Linked DNA regions of Macaca mulatta. The main gene of each other region encodes a partner of the protein of the gene in region 4 in a complex. Links are inferred from orthologs where the notes say so. Each region holds a gene or a part of one and is shown on either strand. Other genes may lie near its edges. The genes, in order: DNTTIP1, HDAC2, CIR1 and ZNF541.

Region 1 (4,002 bases), on a different chromosome or scaffold from region 4:
AATGAAAAAGCACCAAACACCTACATCTTTGTCCCTCTAGCCCACACAGGCCATTCTTGGACTGTATGAAGGCTAGCTGGCAGAACTCAAGAGAACAGTTGCTATGTATGACTCAGATAGTCTGCCTACATATACCACCTTTATTTCTTTTTCCTCTATTTCTTTTTTTCTTTATCTGTCCTGTTTATGCCTTTGGTCAGCTGTGATACCCAATGGTGTCCACTGGCACTGCTTAGTCCTATGGGCAGGTACAAGGTTAAAACCTCCCTAATAGGATGAAAAAGTTTGGAGCCAGGAAGTTGCCCTTATTGTTATAAGATTGATGTTGGCTCATGGAGATAATTAACATTTGTTGATGGCCTAACATGTGCCTAATATGCTTTTTTTTTTTTTTTTGGGGGGGGGGACAGAGTCTCCCTCTGTCCTCCAGGCTGGAGTGCAGTGGCGCGATCTCGGCTCACTGCACAATCTCGGCATAATTAACATTTGATGACGACCTAACATGTGCCTAATACGCCTGTTTTTTTTGCTTTTTGTTTTTTGTTTTTTTGAAACAGTCTCCCTCTGTCGCCCAGGCTGGAGTGCAGTGGCGTGATCTCGGCCCACTGCAACCTCCGCCTCCTGGGTTCAAGAGATTCTCCTGCCTCAGCCTCCTGAGTAGCTGGGATTACAGGCGCCCAACATCAGGCCCGGCTAATTTTTGTATTTTTAGTAGAGACGGGATTTCTCCATGTTGGCCAGGCTGGTCTCGAACTCCTGATTGCAAGTGATCCTCCCGCCTCGGCCTCCCAAAGTGCTGGGATTACAGGCATGAGCCACCGCCCCTGGCAGAGCATATTAAAATCTAGTCTTCAAACACTGAACTGCAGGCGTCGCTGCACCAAACACTTCCCTCTGCTCCCCAACCCCAGCCTACAGAAACCAGCTCCCCTCCTCCTACCCCGCAGTCATCCACAGGCCTTGGCCCAGCGGGAAACGTCCCTTGACTGAACCGCCACTGAACACCCACACTCCACAATCGAGGGGCAGCCCTCCCGAGAGGAAGCCCCAACGACCTCCAACCACAAGGCCTCTAGGTGTAACTGTCCCGGGCGAGGCGCGGCGGTTCGGTTCCCATGGTAACCCCGCAGCTCCTGCGTCGCGCTTCCGGGCGGACGAGCAGCGCGCCTCAGTGACGTCACGGCGCCACTTTCCGGCCGGTGGCAGAGTCCGGCGAAGTTGTGGTGGCCCTGGGGCGCCATGGGAGCCACTGGCGACGCCGAGCAGCCGCGGGGACCCAGCGGGGCCGAGCGGGGCGGCTTGGAGCTGGGGGATGCAGGCGCAGCGGGGCAGCTGGTTCTCACGGTGAGGGCGCCCCCGGTGAGGTCTGGGCTCGGGCCGGGCAGGGCCTCGGGGCTCCCGGGACCCTGGCCCGCGGGCGAGAACGCGGCGGCTGCAGCTGCAGAGGGGGTTGGCGTTTTCGCAGCCCGACGACCTGGATTCAAATTCTGGTGCCGCCCTCCTAGCTAGGTGACGTGGGCCAGCTCTGTCGACCCCCTGAGTCCCCAGATCATCATCTATAAAATGGAGATGATTAGTACCTGTCTCATAAAAGTTGTTGTGGGATGGGAAGATAAAGGCGGGTACAGCGCCCAGGACATCACCTGACACAGAGTTGACCCTCGGTAAACACTGCTTCCCTTCCTCCTGCCGTGCCAGAAGGCAGGGTCGGGCCTTTTAAGGCAGGAAACTTCCTCAGTTCCTCTTTTGTGGAGGGGGCCTTCCAACTGTTGTCCTCCCCCGATACCCCAAGGCGGGAGAGATGGTGACGGATCTGAGAAGCAGGAATGTTTAGGTTTAACTTCATACCCACCCTCCACCTCCACCCCACGCCAGTGTCACAGGCCGCAGTGACATTTGTTCCGTTGGTCCCCACAGAACCCTTGGAACATAATGATAAAGCACCGGCAGGTGCAGCGGAGGGGCCGCCGCTCACAGATGACAACAAGGTAAGGCTGGCCCTGCATGGGACTTGTATCCCAGCCACTGGCTTGCATGGCAGCTTTGGGATCCCCAGTGCACAAGACTATGGAGATCTACAGCCTGTAGAAAGAGCACAGGACTGAGAAAGAGGAGACTCCGATCCTGTAACTCTGTGTGATCTTGAGCTAGTCAAGTCACTTCCTTCTCTGAACTCACGAAATGGGGAAGGGCACAGGAGATGGGTTGGGGAATAAAAAATACCTAAGACCCCTCACATTCACTGGCTCTGTGATTGAGGGCTCTTAAGAGGTCAGTTAGCATGGAGTTTAAGAGCACGGGCTCTGGAGTCAGACAACTGTGTTCTCATGCAGCCTCTGATGAGCCCCTGTTTTCTCAACTATAAAGACGGATTAATAGTATCCATCTCAGGGAAGGGAGAGAGCACAAGGTGGGCCTTTGGGATGCTGGTAGTGGTGAAATGGATGTTCACTGTAATTACTCATTAAAGTGTATAGACTTTTCTGTATAATAAGTATTATATTTCATAAAAACACTTTGGGCCGGGCGCAGTGGCTCACGCCTGTAATCCCAGCACTTTGGGAGTCTGAGGTGGGCGGATCACCTGAGGTCAGGACTTTGAGAACAGCCTGACCAACATGGAGAAACCCTGTCTCTACTAAAAATACAAAAAGATGGCCGGGTGCAGTGGCTCACGCCTGTAATCCCAGCACTTTGGGGATCTGAGGCGGGCAGATCACCTGAGGTTGGGAGTTTGAGACCAGCCTGACCAAAATGGAGAAACCCGGTCTCTACTAAAAATACAAAAATTAGCTGGGTGTGGTGGTGCACACCTGTAATCCCAGCTACTCGGGAAGCTGAGGCAGGAAAATTGCTTGAACGCAGGAGGCGGAGGTTGCAGTGAGCCAAAACCACACCACTGCATTCCAGCCTGGGCAACAGAGTGAGACTCCGTCCAAAAAAAAAAAACTTTGAAAATAATACCCACTTCATAGAGTTATGAGAATGAAATAAAGTCATGCCTTTGTGATTTGAACAAAATCTGAGCATGTAGCTAGTTTTCAGTAAAAGTTGTCTAGTATTGTTAAAGAATTCTATGTCCATAATTGACTGGGCAAGGTGAGAAAGAATATGTTTCGGACATGCCCCCTCACCCTGTCTCCCTCCTGAATGCAGTTTCACAGATCCTGCCATCTCTATGGATCTCCTCCGAGCTGTCCTGCAGCCTAGCATCAATGAGGAGATCCAGACTGTCTTCAACAAGTACATGAAGGTGAGAGGGACACAGGATAAAAAATAACGGGAAAGACTCACGAGGAGCCCAGTCCTTCCTTGCATCACCAGTCCGTCTCTTTCCTACACACAGATATCTAAAGTTTTCCTTTTTTTTTTTTGTTTTTTTGTTTGTTTTGTTTTGTGTTTTTGAGACAGAGTCTCACTCTGTCACCCAGGCTGGAGTGCAGTGGCATGATATCGATTCAGTGCAACCTCCACTTCCCAGGTTCCAGCGATTCTCATGCCTCAGCCTCCCTAGTAGCCAGGATTACAAGCGCCCACCACCACACACAGCGAATTTTTGTATTTTTAGTAGAGACGGGGTTTCACTGTTGACCAGGCTGGTCTCAAACTCCTGACCTCAAGTGATCTGCCCGCCCACCTTGGCCTCCCAAAGTGCTGAGATTATAGGTGTGAGCCAGCGCGCCCGGCCAGCTTTCAAATTTTTAATCCCCCAAGAATTTTATCCCTTCCTTGAGGGTAATTCAGATATCTTTTTTTTTTTTTTAATCTGCCCTTGTCACTCACTGTCACGTTTTTGTTTTTGTTTTTTTTGCTGACTTCTTGTAAGGATGAAATGACTTAAATGTACTGTGCTGAGCACTGCACTTAGGACATAACAAGTGTCCAGTAAGTACTTCTATTAGTTGTTTAATAATATCACCATTATTGGGGCCATGCACAATGGCTCACACCTGCAACCCCAGCACTTTGGGAGGCCGAGGCAGAATCACTTGAGGCCAGGAG
Region 2 (3,564 bases), on a different chromosome or scaffold from region 4:
AGCTGTGCTAAATAAAACAATACAATGTAAATTGATATTTCCAGACTAAGCACTCATGAGACTATTCTCATAAGAATATAAAGAGCGTATAATAGTATAGCAAAATTTCTTCACAAAATTTAAAAAACAGAAATGAGGCTGTGATCAAGGTAAAGTTTCTGAGTGGCTCATGTGTTAGATAAGCAAGGAAAGCTGTGCACCAAGTCAATTTATTAAATCATGTTTGATTACACCACCCAAAAAAATTGTGTCCAGAGAAATTAAAGTTGTTTAAAACTATTAGCTGAGTGGGCAAGAACTTGCTCAAAGAGTTGAAGACACTGGAACCAACATCAACAGTCAATTAAAACACAAGGCAAATGATTGCAAATGATTTTCCTTTGCTCCTGATGAGCTGACAAGATGTTACACTGATCCTGCTCAATTACTGTTTATTTGAGGAGTCAGTATCAATTTTCAGTGACTGAAAAATCAGCCTCTATGGATAGCATGCATGGAATAACTACAAGCAAAAAACAGCTCAGTACAATATAAAGTAGAATCTGCTAAGATGTGTCATAACTGATGGCAAAAAATAACATTGCAAATGTCCACATTCATAAGTACCTCTACAGATCTCTCTCTCTCAAACTGCAGCCACAGCTAAGGAAAAATAACTCCTGCAGCAACTCAGAGATAATTTTATATCCATCAGTAGAGAACAAAGCCTCATTCACATATGGAAGTTAGGCAGTTAGACTAACTCAACAGGTAAACAAATTTCCTTAAATACTGGTTTCAAATTTTTGTCTTCAATTTACAATTTACAAAATACTAGAACATAAACTTCCAAGGTCATTGTCATTTTTTATTAGTTGAAACTAACTAAAATGAAAACTGCCAAACTACTTTTAAAAAAGGATATTTAATGGGAGTTTTGACATTTACATACACTTCTAATTCTTTTTTTTTTTTTTTTTTTTTTTTTTGAGACAGAGTCTTGCTCTGTAGCCCACGCTGGAGTACACTGATATGATCTTGGCTCACTGCAACCTCTGCCTCCCAGGTTCAAGCAACTCTCCTGCGTCAGCCTCCTGAGTAGCTGGGATTACAGGCACGTGCCACCATGCCCGGCTAATTTTTGTGTTTTTAGTAGGATGGGGTTTCACCATGCTGGTCAGGCTGGTCTTGAACTCCTGACCTCATGATCCACCCACCTTGGCCTCCCAAAGTGTTGGGATTACAGGCGTGAGCCACGGGCACCCAGCCTTTTATACACTTCTAATTCTTTTTTTAAGGTAGGATCTCACACTGTTGCCCAGGCTAGAGTGTAGTGACAGGAACATGGCTTCCTGCAGACTCTACTTCCTGGGCTCAGATACTCCCACCTCAACCTCCTGGGTAGTTGGGACTACAGATGCATGCCACCACATCTGGCTAATTTTTTTCTTGGCAGAGATGGGGTTTTGCCATGTTGCCCAGCCTGGTCTCAAACTCCTGGGCTCAAGAGATCCACCCACCTCAGCCTCCCAAAGTGTAGGGATTACAGGCCTCGGCCATAGTGCCTGGCCACACACTAACTCTTAATAATTGAAGATTTGGGCAAACTTCCTGCATTTCTTCATTGTTTTGTAATGAATTCCCAGAAAATTCACCATTAACTATTTCAACCTATGGCTTACCTGATTTTTTTTAAGCCACAGACTTTTATTGTGTTTTAATGAAAACATTTTATCACTGAAAAAAGTACCAATATAAATTAACATACTTTAGTAATTCAAGGATGGCAAGCACAATATCATTAACATAACAGAATCCTGATGCTTCTGATTTCTTAGCATGATGTAATCCTCCAGCCCAATTAACAGCCATATCAGTCTGTTGTCGGTTTAACTTCACGGCTCCAGCTAAGAAGTAGAAACAAGGTAGACTTTTTAAATATTTAACATAAAAAATTAGTACAACGAGACGAAAACCCTACAAGTGTATGCCATGCATAAGAAAGAGCTTAAAATCATAAAACTTAACAAAAATCATCTATGACACAAATAGGAGTTTCTCCTTAGAAAAACATTCTCCCAGAGCTGCGCCCTGAGATTAAATAATGGTTTATGTAGATGGTGGTACTAACAATGATAGCTAGAAGACAAGTGGGATGAAAGAAGTCTGTAAGTGAAAAATGTAAGTTACAAAAGTATTTAAGTCACAATAACAAAACAGAGGTTTGAAAGCAAATTGTACTGTACTATAAACATACTGATTTCCTTTTGTTATCAAAATTCACAATCATTAAAACTCCTGCTTTACACAAATAACCTGGAAGATACACACCAAATTTAGAACAACTTTTAAATCTGATTGTATTAGCACTTACCAACTGAACCACCAGTTGAGAGTTGACAAAACTCAAAGAGTCCATCAAACACTGGACAATCTTCTCCAACATTAACTGTGGAAGATGGATTTCATTAATTTCAACACACTCTGCAAATTAATGAAAGCCTTTTCTTACAAAAACTATTTCCTACAAATACTTTTTTTGCTTGATGCAATCATCAAACATACACTTCACAGTGTAATATAAAGTTTACAACTTTAAAATATATTTATTGTTTTATCCAAGGTAATTACAGTGTTATCTGTGAAAGATCATCATCAAATCTTATCAGGAGTATCTGTGGAATATTTCTGGTCTATTAACAAGAACTCAATAGTTGTCTATGCACAACAGTTCTCATTTAATTAAAACACAGGCTTAAATTTTCTAGACCTTTCCCCTTAATATTACAGTAAGTTAACATTCTAAAAGTAACTTCAATTGCTGTATGATTTACTTTCTTTAAAACTCCTTAAATACGTATTAATATCTGTAACTTTGAAATGCATGTCAGGAAGTTACTAAACCAAAAAGATGTAACAGCTGGTTGCCTATTTCCGTGGCTAATCTTGATCTTGAAAGCTTGTAAGAATTAACTAGGTTCATGGGAGCCAAAATACAGAAGGATATTAAAGACAACAAGGAAAAAACATATACAGATAAATAACACAACATCACACATTTAGTTCCTCAGTATTGACAGAATGAAGGGGATATGGCAGACATATATAACCCTTTCTTAGTCTTTCCCTATGCCCTTGAATTGTAACCTCTTCAAGAATAAGGGTCCTTGTTTTATATATTAATATCTTTGTACATCCTTAAGTCACAAGCACTATAAGAAATACATTTTAGTTTCTTACTGCTCAGATAGATCATAATTTTTTTTTTTTTTTTTGGATACAGAGTCTCACTCTGTTGCCCAGGCTGCAATAGCGTGAGCTCGGCTCATTGCAACCCCCACCTCCGGGGTTCAAGCAATTCTCCTATCTCAGCCTCCTGAGTAGCAGGATTACAGGTGCACGCCACCACACCCAGCTAATTTTTTTGTACTTTTTTTAGTAGAGACAGGGTTTCGCCATGTTGGCCAGTCTGGTTTCGAACTCCTGACCTCAGGTAATCCACTCACCTCGGCCTCCCAAAGTGCTGGGATTACAGGCGTGAGCCACCACACCCAGCCAGGATCATAAGCTTAATATAAGTCATTA
Region 3 (4,248 bases), on a different chromosome or scaffold from region 4:
AAGACGTAAATGTCTAGATAGCTGTCTGGAGCCACATCAAAGTTAAGAAGAGAAAACTGGGACTGCAGATCTGAGTCATGAGTAAACAGGCTAGTTAAAACGGGCTAGTTGGATGTGATTGCTTGGGGCAAGGATACTAAGTAAGCAAGAAGTGGGCCAAGGATGAAACTTTGGGGAACACTTATATTTTAGGAGCAGGCTAAAAATAAAGATCCAGTGAAGTTGATGGAAAAAGAAGTCTACTAATAGAGCGGGAAAACTAGAAGAGAGTAGTTACTACAGCTAAGGGAAGAGAGACTTTCACAAAAAAAGGAGTTTACAGTGGTGCTATTGTCAATAGCCGGTTTGTAAAGTGTTTGCCAGTTCACAAGAAGACAAATAAGGAGCTTGGACCACAATGTAAATTAACTGCTTCCTTCATTAACAATATCAAGAAAAAAAAAAGAACAGCTGAACTAAAACAGTGTATCCTGTGACATAAATGACTGAGGCAGCGCATAACAATACATAACAGAGTGACCAGCAGATGTATAGCATTCACTCTTATTTCTGGTGAACAAATGAGACCTTAAAACCTACCAGACTCTTTGTAAGCTTGGGAAACTGAAAACGAACAAGGAAAAAAAGAACCTACTGGACTTTAATAAACCCAACATGCTTAATTTTACAATTAGAATTTTCTTTCTTTCTTTTTAAATATAGATGGGGGTCTCACTTTGTTGCCCATGCTGGTCTTGAATTCCTGGCCTCTCAAAGTGTTGGGATTATAGGTATGAGCCACCATACCTGGCCCTTAAAATTTTCATGGTGGAACTCTTTTGCACTCTTTGATCAAACTCCTTTGTTTCTTCCACTTCTATTTCTTAAAAACAAACAAACAAACTTTACTGGAGTATGACATATAAAAAGTTGTACATATTTAATGTATACAACCTGAGTTTGGTGACAAGTATATCCCTGAGAAACCATCACCACAATCCAGACTATAAACATATCCATCATCTCCAAAAGTTTCCTCCTACCCGAATACATTTTTCTATTTATCTTCATTTAATATAGTTCCTCTATCCTTAGTTAATTAAGAATGTTAGAGGTTACCCCCTCTCCCCATAAAGTATTAACTATCTAGAAAGGTCTGCTAATCAAAAACATTTCATTCTTCTCCTCTATCCTGGGAAAAGTATAAAAGAGATCACAAAGGCCAACAGTATTTGGTACATTTTACTTAACACTTTACACGGATGAGAAGAATGTAGGTTCTAAGCCTATAACTGCTTTACTGAATTTCTCATAGGGGATTTGCAAAAGTTATTCTCCGTGGATTTCTTTTTTCTTGTAAGAAAGCTGATTCAATGACTTTTATAACGCTAAATGTCAAAAGTTCCAGTAAAAAATTATGATTTCTCGGGTATATTTGTCTCTAAATATAAACAGCAACTAAGCAAGCAACTGAATTCCATCTAATCTCTTCATTCTTGTAAAACTAGTAATAGCTGACCCCCTGAGTATGCAGAGAAAGGAAACGTCTGTGTTTGCTGTCAACAGTTATTGAGCCAACCAAATACAAGAAACCTCTCCCTCCCACAGTTGCAACCACGCAAACACAAACTGGTGCGGCGGAAAAAATCACTAGGTTAATCGGGTGTTCCAGATTCTAGTTCTGGTACAACATTTAACTAGCTGTGTAACTCTTGGCAAATTTGTTTCCTCATTTATAAAATAAGGAGATGGGGCTGGATGATTACCAAAGAGCTTTCAAGGTGTATCTGCGTTATTAAAATTTCATGGGGGAGTTACTAAGAAAAAATGTTTAATAAGGCTCCTTAGGAAGGTAACAGTGAAAAAAAGTTGAGAATCACTGGTCTAGAAGTGAGAGTATATAGCAATATCTCATCACCTCAACTGGTTCTAAAAACAAATAAAAGCTTAGTTATTTTCACAACTTTCTACATGGGGCAATCAACATTTTATTGAGCACCTCCTCTCTGTAGCGAACAGTGATAGATGCCTACGTTGTTTCAAATCCTTTATCTCCACTATTTCACTTAATCCTCACAATTAAGCCAATCACCCTTAATTTACAGATTAGGAGACTGAGGGTCAGATATTACAAATATTTTGTGCAAGGTCTTAAGGCTAAAAGTGACTGCTCGAATAACTAGAATCCAGATTTGACTCGAAAGCCGATTCTTTCTAATTCACTCTTCTGCTTTTCATTACTATGATATTCACCAAGGTATTACACCTGGTAGACCTGTAATTACGTAAAACACTAAACTTCAACGAGGTCATTAAAAAGACACTAGATTATTGGGTAAATTTTTTAAAGATCTATCTTAAATAAACGTGGAGACTTCTTTGTACAGAAAAGTAGAGTTCAGAAGCCGTGATCCCTGGGATCCGAAAAGACAAAAAACCAGAATCAGCTGAGGGAAGTACTGAGGAATTTTGACATTAGTCTTCACATATTATGGATTTACATTCCGGGCGACAAAGATTCTCTAGGCCGCCGGTCTCCTCGCTGTTGCAGAATAAACGCTGAGGATCCCCTGCGTCAGCGAGCTGCTCAGCAGAGAAAGGCGAGACTACGGGGCTTTAGGCCTAGAGAAGCGGGGCTGTCCTACGGACCTCAGAGACATCACCACTTTCACTTCCAGCACCTCAGGGAAGGCAGTCTCCGTGGGCCTGATCCCTCCCCGGGTCTCTTTACTCACTTTTTTGATGTTGGATTTGGAGGCAGGATGAAAGTCTTTCTTACACATGAAGTTGGCGAAGGATTTCCCCATCTTGGACCTGGAGCTAGGGAAAGCGGCACCTAGATCTGTAAGTAACGTAAACAAACTCAGTCTCCTAACCGGAACTGCTTTTCCAGCGGCAGGGGGAACTTCCGAGGTCAAAGGTAACAGCTTCCGGCAATTGATGCCTACACTGGCCAATCCTCCCTCCGTCCACCTGTCACTTCGGGTAGTTTGGAGGCCAGGTGAGGGGCGTGCACGGGGGAGGGGCGTGCATAGTTGAGACAGAAACCGGGAAGACCCAACTGTGGGGCGGTACTGCTTAACCGAGGGGCTCCAGAGCCCAGCTGCGCTGGCTGCGATTTGAGCGCCCAGGGCCGGGGTGCGGGGTGGACCGCGGCGGCCCTTCGACCAAAGGTGCTTGAAGCTCGAGCCCATTACTTTCTGTGAACTCTGACTCGAGCTGCAAAAACTTTTCTGCACTGTTTTTCTCATCTCTGTTATGGAGATAATAATTCCTGCCCTAACTGTAGTATGTTTGCGAGAATCCAACGATATGTTTCTGAAAGCGCCCGCTGAACTAAGAGCGCGTGAAATAGAATGAGACAGCTTTGCAAGAACGGAGGCCCTTGCCCCAGCTGTACGGTGCTGGCGCCGAAAGACGTTCAATAAAGACTTACTGAATGACGAATACACGTTAGGAGTTAGTAAAATCTCTCAAGGCTTCACCTCCTCAGTGGGCTAGGTGCCATTCTAACCAGGCGGCAAGTTTCCTTAGCTTTCCCTACCACCCCAGTTAGGCAGCTCAGATTACCTATTGCAGCTTGATGGACCTTGGGACTCCAGGTTTTTGAGTGGACGTGGCTGCTTCTGCAGCAGGTGACCCACCAACCAAGCTCTCTATCAGGGTAATGTTAAGAATAAATTTACGCCGGGCGCGGTAGCTCACGCCTGTAATCCCAGCACTTTGGGAGGCCGAGGTGGGTGGATCACCTGACGTCAGGAGTTCGTAGACCAGCCTGGCCAACGTGGTGAAAACCCGTCTCTACTCTAAATTAGCCGGGTGTGGTGGCACGCGCCCCTGTAATCTGAGCTACTCGGGAGGCTGAAGCAGGAGAATCACTTGAACCCGGGAGGCGGAGGTTGCAGTGAGCCGAGATTGCACCATTGCACTCAGCCTGGGCAACAAGAGTTAAACTGTCAGGGAAAAAAAAAAAAAAAGAATAAGACTTTATGAGAAATTTTCTCTCTTACCAAATAACAACAACAGCTTTCACGTGAATATCTAGTATGTTCTATGCACTGTGCAAAACACTTTACATGTTGCCTTATTAAGTTCTAACAGCCCATCAAACAGTGTCTTTTTTATTTTACTGGTGAGGCAGAAGGCATAGGGAAGAGAGAGATTAAATAGTCTGCCAAAATTATATAGTGATGGAACTAACTATAAAACACAAATAGAAGGAGATCCAGGACATAAGGATTGAAACACAGAAAGAAAATAACAGAAGCC
Region 4 (3,564 bases):
GTCACTTATCTCAGGATGGGGACGTCATTCTGGGTTGGGGGCTGGAGTTGGGCTGTATGGCTCTCCAGGGGCAGGCCGTCGCTATGGGCTGCAGCAGCTCTGCAGCTCAGTCCGTGCCACAGACTCACTGCTGTTTTCTATGACAGCTTTTTTTGCTGAAGCAGCTCTTTCTTTCCCCACCTACCTTATCTCTTAAAGAGCCATCTCTTCTCTTCTGTGTTTAGGTGTTTGGCACAGAGTTTTGCAAGCCGCTAAGACAGGTGCTGAGGCCAGAAGGGGACAGGCATAGTCCCCCAGGAGCCAAGAAGCCCTTGGACTCCACAGCTGCAGCCCCTTTGGTGGTCCCCCATTCGATCCCTGTGGTTCCAGTGACCCGACACGTAGGGAGCATGGCCATGGTGGGTGCTTGTCGGTCTGCCTCCTTCCTGCCACTGCCCCCAGATGCTGGGGGAAGCCGTAGGAAAAACCCAAACCAGATACCACAGAAAATCTTTGACTCCAGGCTGGGCGTGGTGGCTCATGCCTGTAATCCCAGCACTTTGGGAGGCTGAGGCGGGTGGATTGCCTGAGCTCAGGAATTCGAGACTAGCCTGGGCAACATGGTGAAACCCTGTCTCTACTAAAAATACAAAAAAATTAGCTGGGCTGGCCCTGGACAAGTGGCAGGCTCCTGTAAACCCAGCTACTCGGGAGGCTGAGGCCTGAGAATCACTTGAACCCGGGAAGCAGAGGTTGCAGTGAGCTGAGATCACGCCACTGCACTCTAACCTGGGTAACAGAGTGAGACTCTATCTCAAAAAAAAAAAAAATCATGATCCGGAAGAAACTGGTTTGCATGTTAGTTCAGTCATTCAGCATTGACTGAGCCCCTCTGTGCCGGACCCTGTGCTGGGTGGTGCTGGGGACACAGAGGTGACCACAGTAGCCTGGGCCCTGCCTCCCGGGGCTCCCAGTCCAGTGGAGGAGACAGGCCTGTCCCCAGACAGTGACAACCCAGAGTGGGCAGAGCTGGGAGCAGAGGGAGCCCAGGGAGTACCCAGGGGGCTCCTCCCAAGCCTGAGGAGGTAAGGGAGGGCTTCCTGGAGGAGGTATGGGAGCTGAGACCTGGAGGATGAGGAGGAGCAGGGCTGGCAGAGCGGAGAGGAGATTTTGTGGAGGCGAGAGAGAGCGTGGTGAGTTACGAGTGATCAGTCTCGTAGGGCTTGTCTCTGCAGCCTGTACTGGAGGACCCCCTACTGGAGAAGCTCCTGCTGGACTCCAGGACAGAGTCCATGGACCTGAAGGTCCCCTGAGTCAGTGGCTGGGTCTTTTGGGTGCTTGTCATTTGGGTGGAGCTACATTTCTTTCTTGTCACTGTCACACTGTATCTCTGGGGATCTCTCTCTTTTTAAGGGCCAGTTGTCTTAATGATTGAGGCCATTCTCACACAGAGTCAGGGGCTCTCCTGGGGCAGTGGGTGCAGGAGAAGGCTGCAGCCGTATCATCACCAGGCTCTGTACCTTAGGTGTGGCCCAGGTGTGGCCAGCCTCCTTCGCTGGGCGTACATGTCCTAGTTTCCTGTCTCTGGCCAGTCTCTTTTTCCTGCTTTCTTTCCATCCTGGAGATGGAGTGGTGCAGTAGGTGGCTTCAGGTGACCACCTGTGGTTCTAAACTTCTTCAGGAACAAGAGAAAGATGGGGAGGAGCGAGACAGCAAGGAGAGCAGCCAGCAGAGAAAGCGGAAGAAGCGGCCCCCACCCAAGAGGCTGTTCATCCCTCCTCCACCCTCCACGGCTGGGGAGCCCGGCCCTGCAGGATGCCACCAGAGTCGCCTGCGGTCGCCCATGTTCCTGGTGGACCGCCTCCTGAAGGGCTTATTCCAGTGCTCCCCCTACACACCGCCCCCAATGCTCAGTCCCATCCGGGAGGGCTCTGGAGTGTACTTCAACACCCTCTGTTCCACATCCACTCAGGCCAGCCCTGACCAGCTCATCAGCTCCATGCTCGGTGAGTGAGTGAGGCTGGGGCACTCACTCTGTGATCCCAGGGTGGATCGCCTGCGGATCATGGCCACTCTCCCTTGTAGCATTGGGTTCAGTGATTGTCTCCTGCCTGGGTATACCTAGTCTGAGGGTTCCTTTGCTATTCAGATGTGCCCTAGAACTAAGCTAAGTGCCTTCTAGTGCATAGAATTTTACAGCCCGAAAGAAAACATAGAGGCCATTTATCTTACCATGCTTCCTCCTGCGCTTCTGTGTCATTATCATTTTCTTTTTTGAGGCAGGGTCTTGCTCTGTCACCCAGGCTGGAGTGCAGTGGCTCGATCACAGCTCACTGCAGCCTCGATCTCCTGGTCTCAAGCGATCCTCCAGCCTTAGACTCCCAAATAGTTGGGACTACAGATGCACATCACCACACCTGGCCAATGTTTTAGCTTTCGAAGAGATGGGGTCTTGCTATGCTGTCCAGGCTGGTCTCGAGTTCCCAGACTCATGTGATTTTGTTGCCTTGACCTCCCAAAGTACTGGCATTAAATGTGTGAGCCACCCTGTCTAGCCTGTGTCATTTCCTTTTTTTTTTTTTTGAGACAGAGTATCACTCTGTCACCCAGGCTAGAGTGCAGTGGTGCAATCTTGGCTCACTGCAACCTCCAACTCCCAGGTTCAAGCAATTCCTGCCTCAGCCTCCCAAGTAGCTGGGACTACAGGCATGTGCCATCATGCCTGGGTAATTTTTGTATTTTTAGTAGAGATGGGGTTTCACTATGTTACCAGGCTGGTCTCGAACTCCTGACCTCCAGTAATCTACCCTCCTCAGCCTCCCAAAGTGCTGGGATTACAGGTGTGAGCCACTGCGCCTGGCCTGGCCTGGCCTATGTAATTTTCCTAACAGCTTTATTGAGCTATACTACACATGCCATGCAAATCACCCATTTAGAGTATGCAGTGTTTTTTAGGATATTCACAAGGCCGTGCACCCATCACACAGTCTAATTTTAGAGCACGCTTCGCATCCTCAGAAGAAGCCAGAGCTCATTAGCAGTGACTCTGCCCATATCCCCACAGTCCCTTCTTCCCCCAGCCTAGGCACCCACTCATCTGCCTTCTCTCTTTGGATTTGCCTATTTGGGACATTTCATGTAAGTAGAATCATACAATATGCAGCCTTTTGTGTCTAGTTTATTTCACTTGGCGTGTTTTCAGAGTCCCTTCATATTGTAGTGCATATCAGTGCTCAATTCCTTTTTATGGCTGAACATTTTTCCCTTGTACAGATGGGCCCCATTTTATTTATTCATCAGTTGATGGACATTTGGGTTGTTTCCACTTCGGGCTATTATGAATAATGCTGCCATAAACATTCGTGTAGAAATTTTTTGGGTTTTTTTTGGGAGACAGGGCCTCACTCTATCACCCAGGCTGGAGTGCAGTGGTGTGATCACAGCTCACTGCAGCTTCAACCTCCTGGGCTCAACTGATCCTTCTGCTTCGGCCTCCAGAGTAGCTGGGCCTACAGGCGTGTGTCTCCGTGCCCGGCTAATTTTTTGTAATTGTTTTTATGTAGGGAGGGGGGTCTTGCCATGTTG

Evidence for each region.
Region 1: ZNF541 (region 4) and DNTTIP1 share a complex: the UniProt entries of both Homo sapiens proteins name them as parts of the histone deacetylase complex. The link is inferred for Macaca mulatta from reciprocal best matches to the Homo sapiens genes ZNF541 and DNTTIP1.
Region 2: ZNF541 (region 4) and HDAC2 share a complex: the UniProt entries of both Homo sapiens proteins name them as parts of the histone deacetylase complex. The link is inferred for Macaca mulatta from reciprocal best matches to the Homo sapiens genes ZNF541 and HDAC2.
Region 3: ZNF541 (region 4) and CIR1 share a complex: the UniProt entries of both Homo sapiens proteins name them as parts of the histone deacetylase complex. The link is inferred for Macaca mulatta from reciprocal best matches to the Homo sapiens genes ZNF541 and CIRSR.

The regions. Positions count from the first base shown.
Region 1 is NC_133415.1:98,576,336-98,580,337, forward strand, and holds the start of DNTTIP1 (deoxynucleotidyltransferase terminal-interacting protein 1), read left to right. Parts: upstream 1-1,170; 5' UTR 1,171-1,239; coding exon 1,240-1,344; intron 1,345-1,917; coding exon 1,918-1,988; intron 1,989-3,156; coding exon 3,157-3,253; intron 3,254-4,002. UniProt on the Homo sapiens protein: Increases DNTT terminal deoxynucleotidyltransferase activity (in vitro). Also acts as a transcriptional regulator, binding to the consensus sequence 5'-GNTGCATG-3' following an AT-tract.
Region 2 is NC_133409.1:19,023,441-19,027,004, forward strand, and holds part of HDAC2 (histone deacetylase 2), read right to left. Parts: intron 2,429-3,564; coding exon 2,354-2,428; intron 1,887-2,353; coding exon 1,748-1,886; intron 1-1,747. UniProt on the Homo sapiens protein: Histone deacetylase that catalyzes the deacetylation of lysine residues on the N-terminal part of the core histones (H2A, H2B, H3 and H4).
Region 3 is NC_133417.1:79,294,149-79,298,396, forward strand, and holds the start of CIR1 (corepressor interacting with RBPJ 1), read right to left. Parts: upstream 2,845-4,248; 5' UTR 2,787-2,844; coding exon 2,715-2,786; intron 1-2,714. UniProt on the Homo sapiens protein: May modulate splice site selection during alternative splicing of pre-mRNAs. Regulates transcription and acts as corepressor for RBPJ. Recruits RBPJ to the Sin3-histone deacetylase complex (HDAC). Required for RBPJ-mediated repression of transcription.
Region 4 is NC_133424.1:60,034,473-60,038,036, reverse strand, and holds part of ZNF541 (zinc finger protein 541), read left to right. Parts: intron 1-224; coding exon 225-398; intron 399-1,660; coding exon 1,661-1,985; intron 1,986-3,564. UniProt on the Homo sapiens protein: Transcription regulator which is essential for male fertility and for the completion of meiotic prophase in spermatocytes.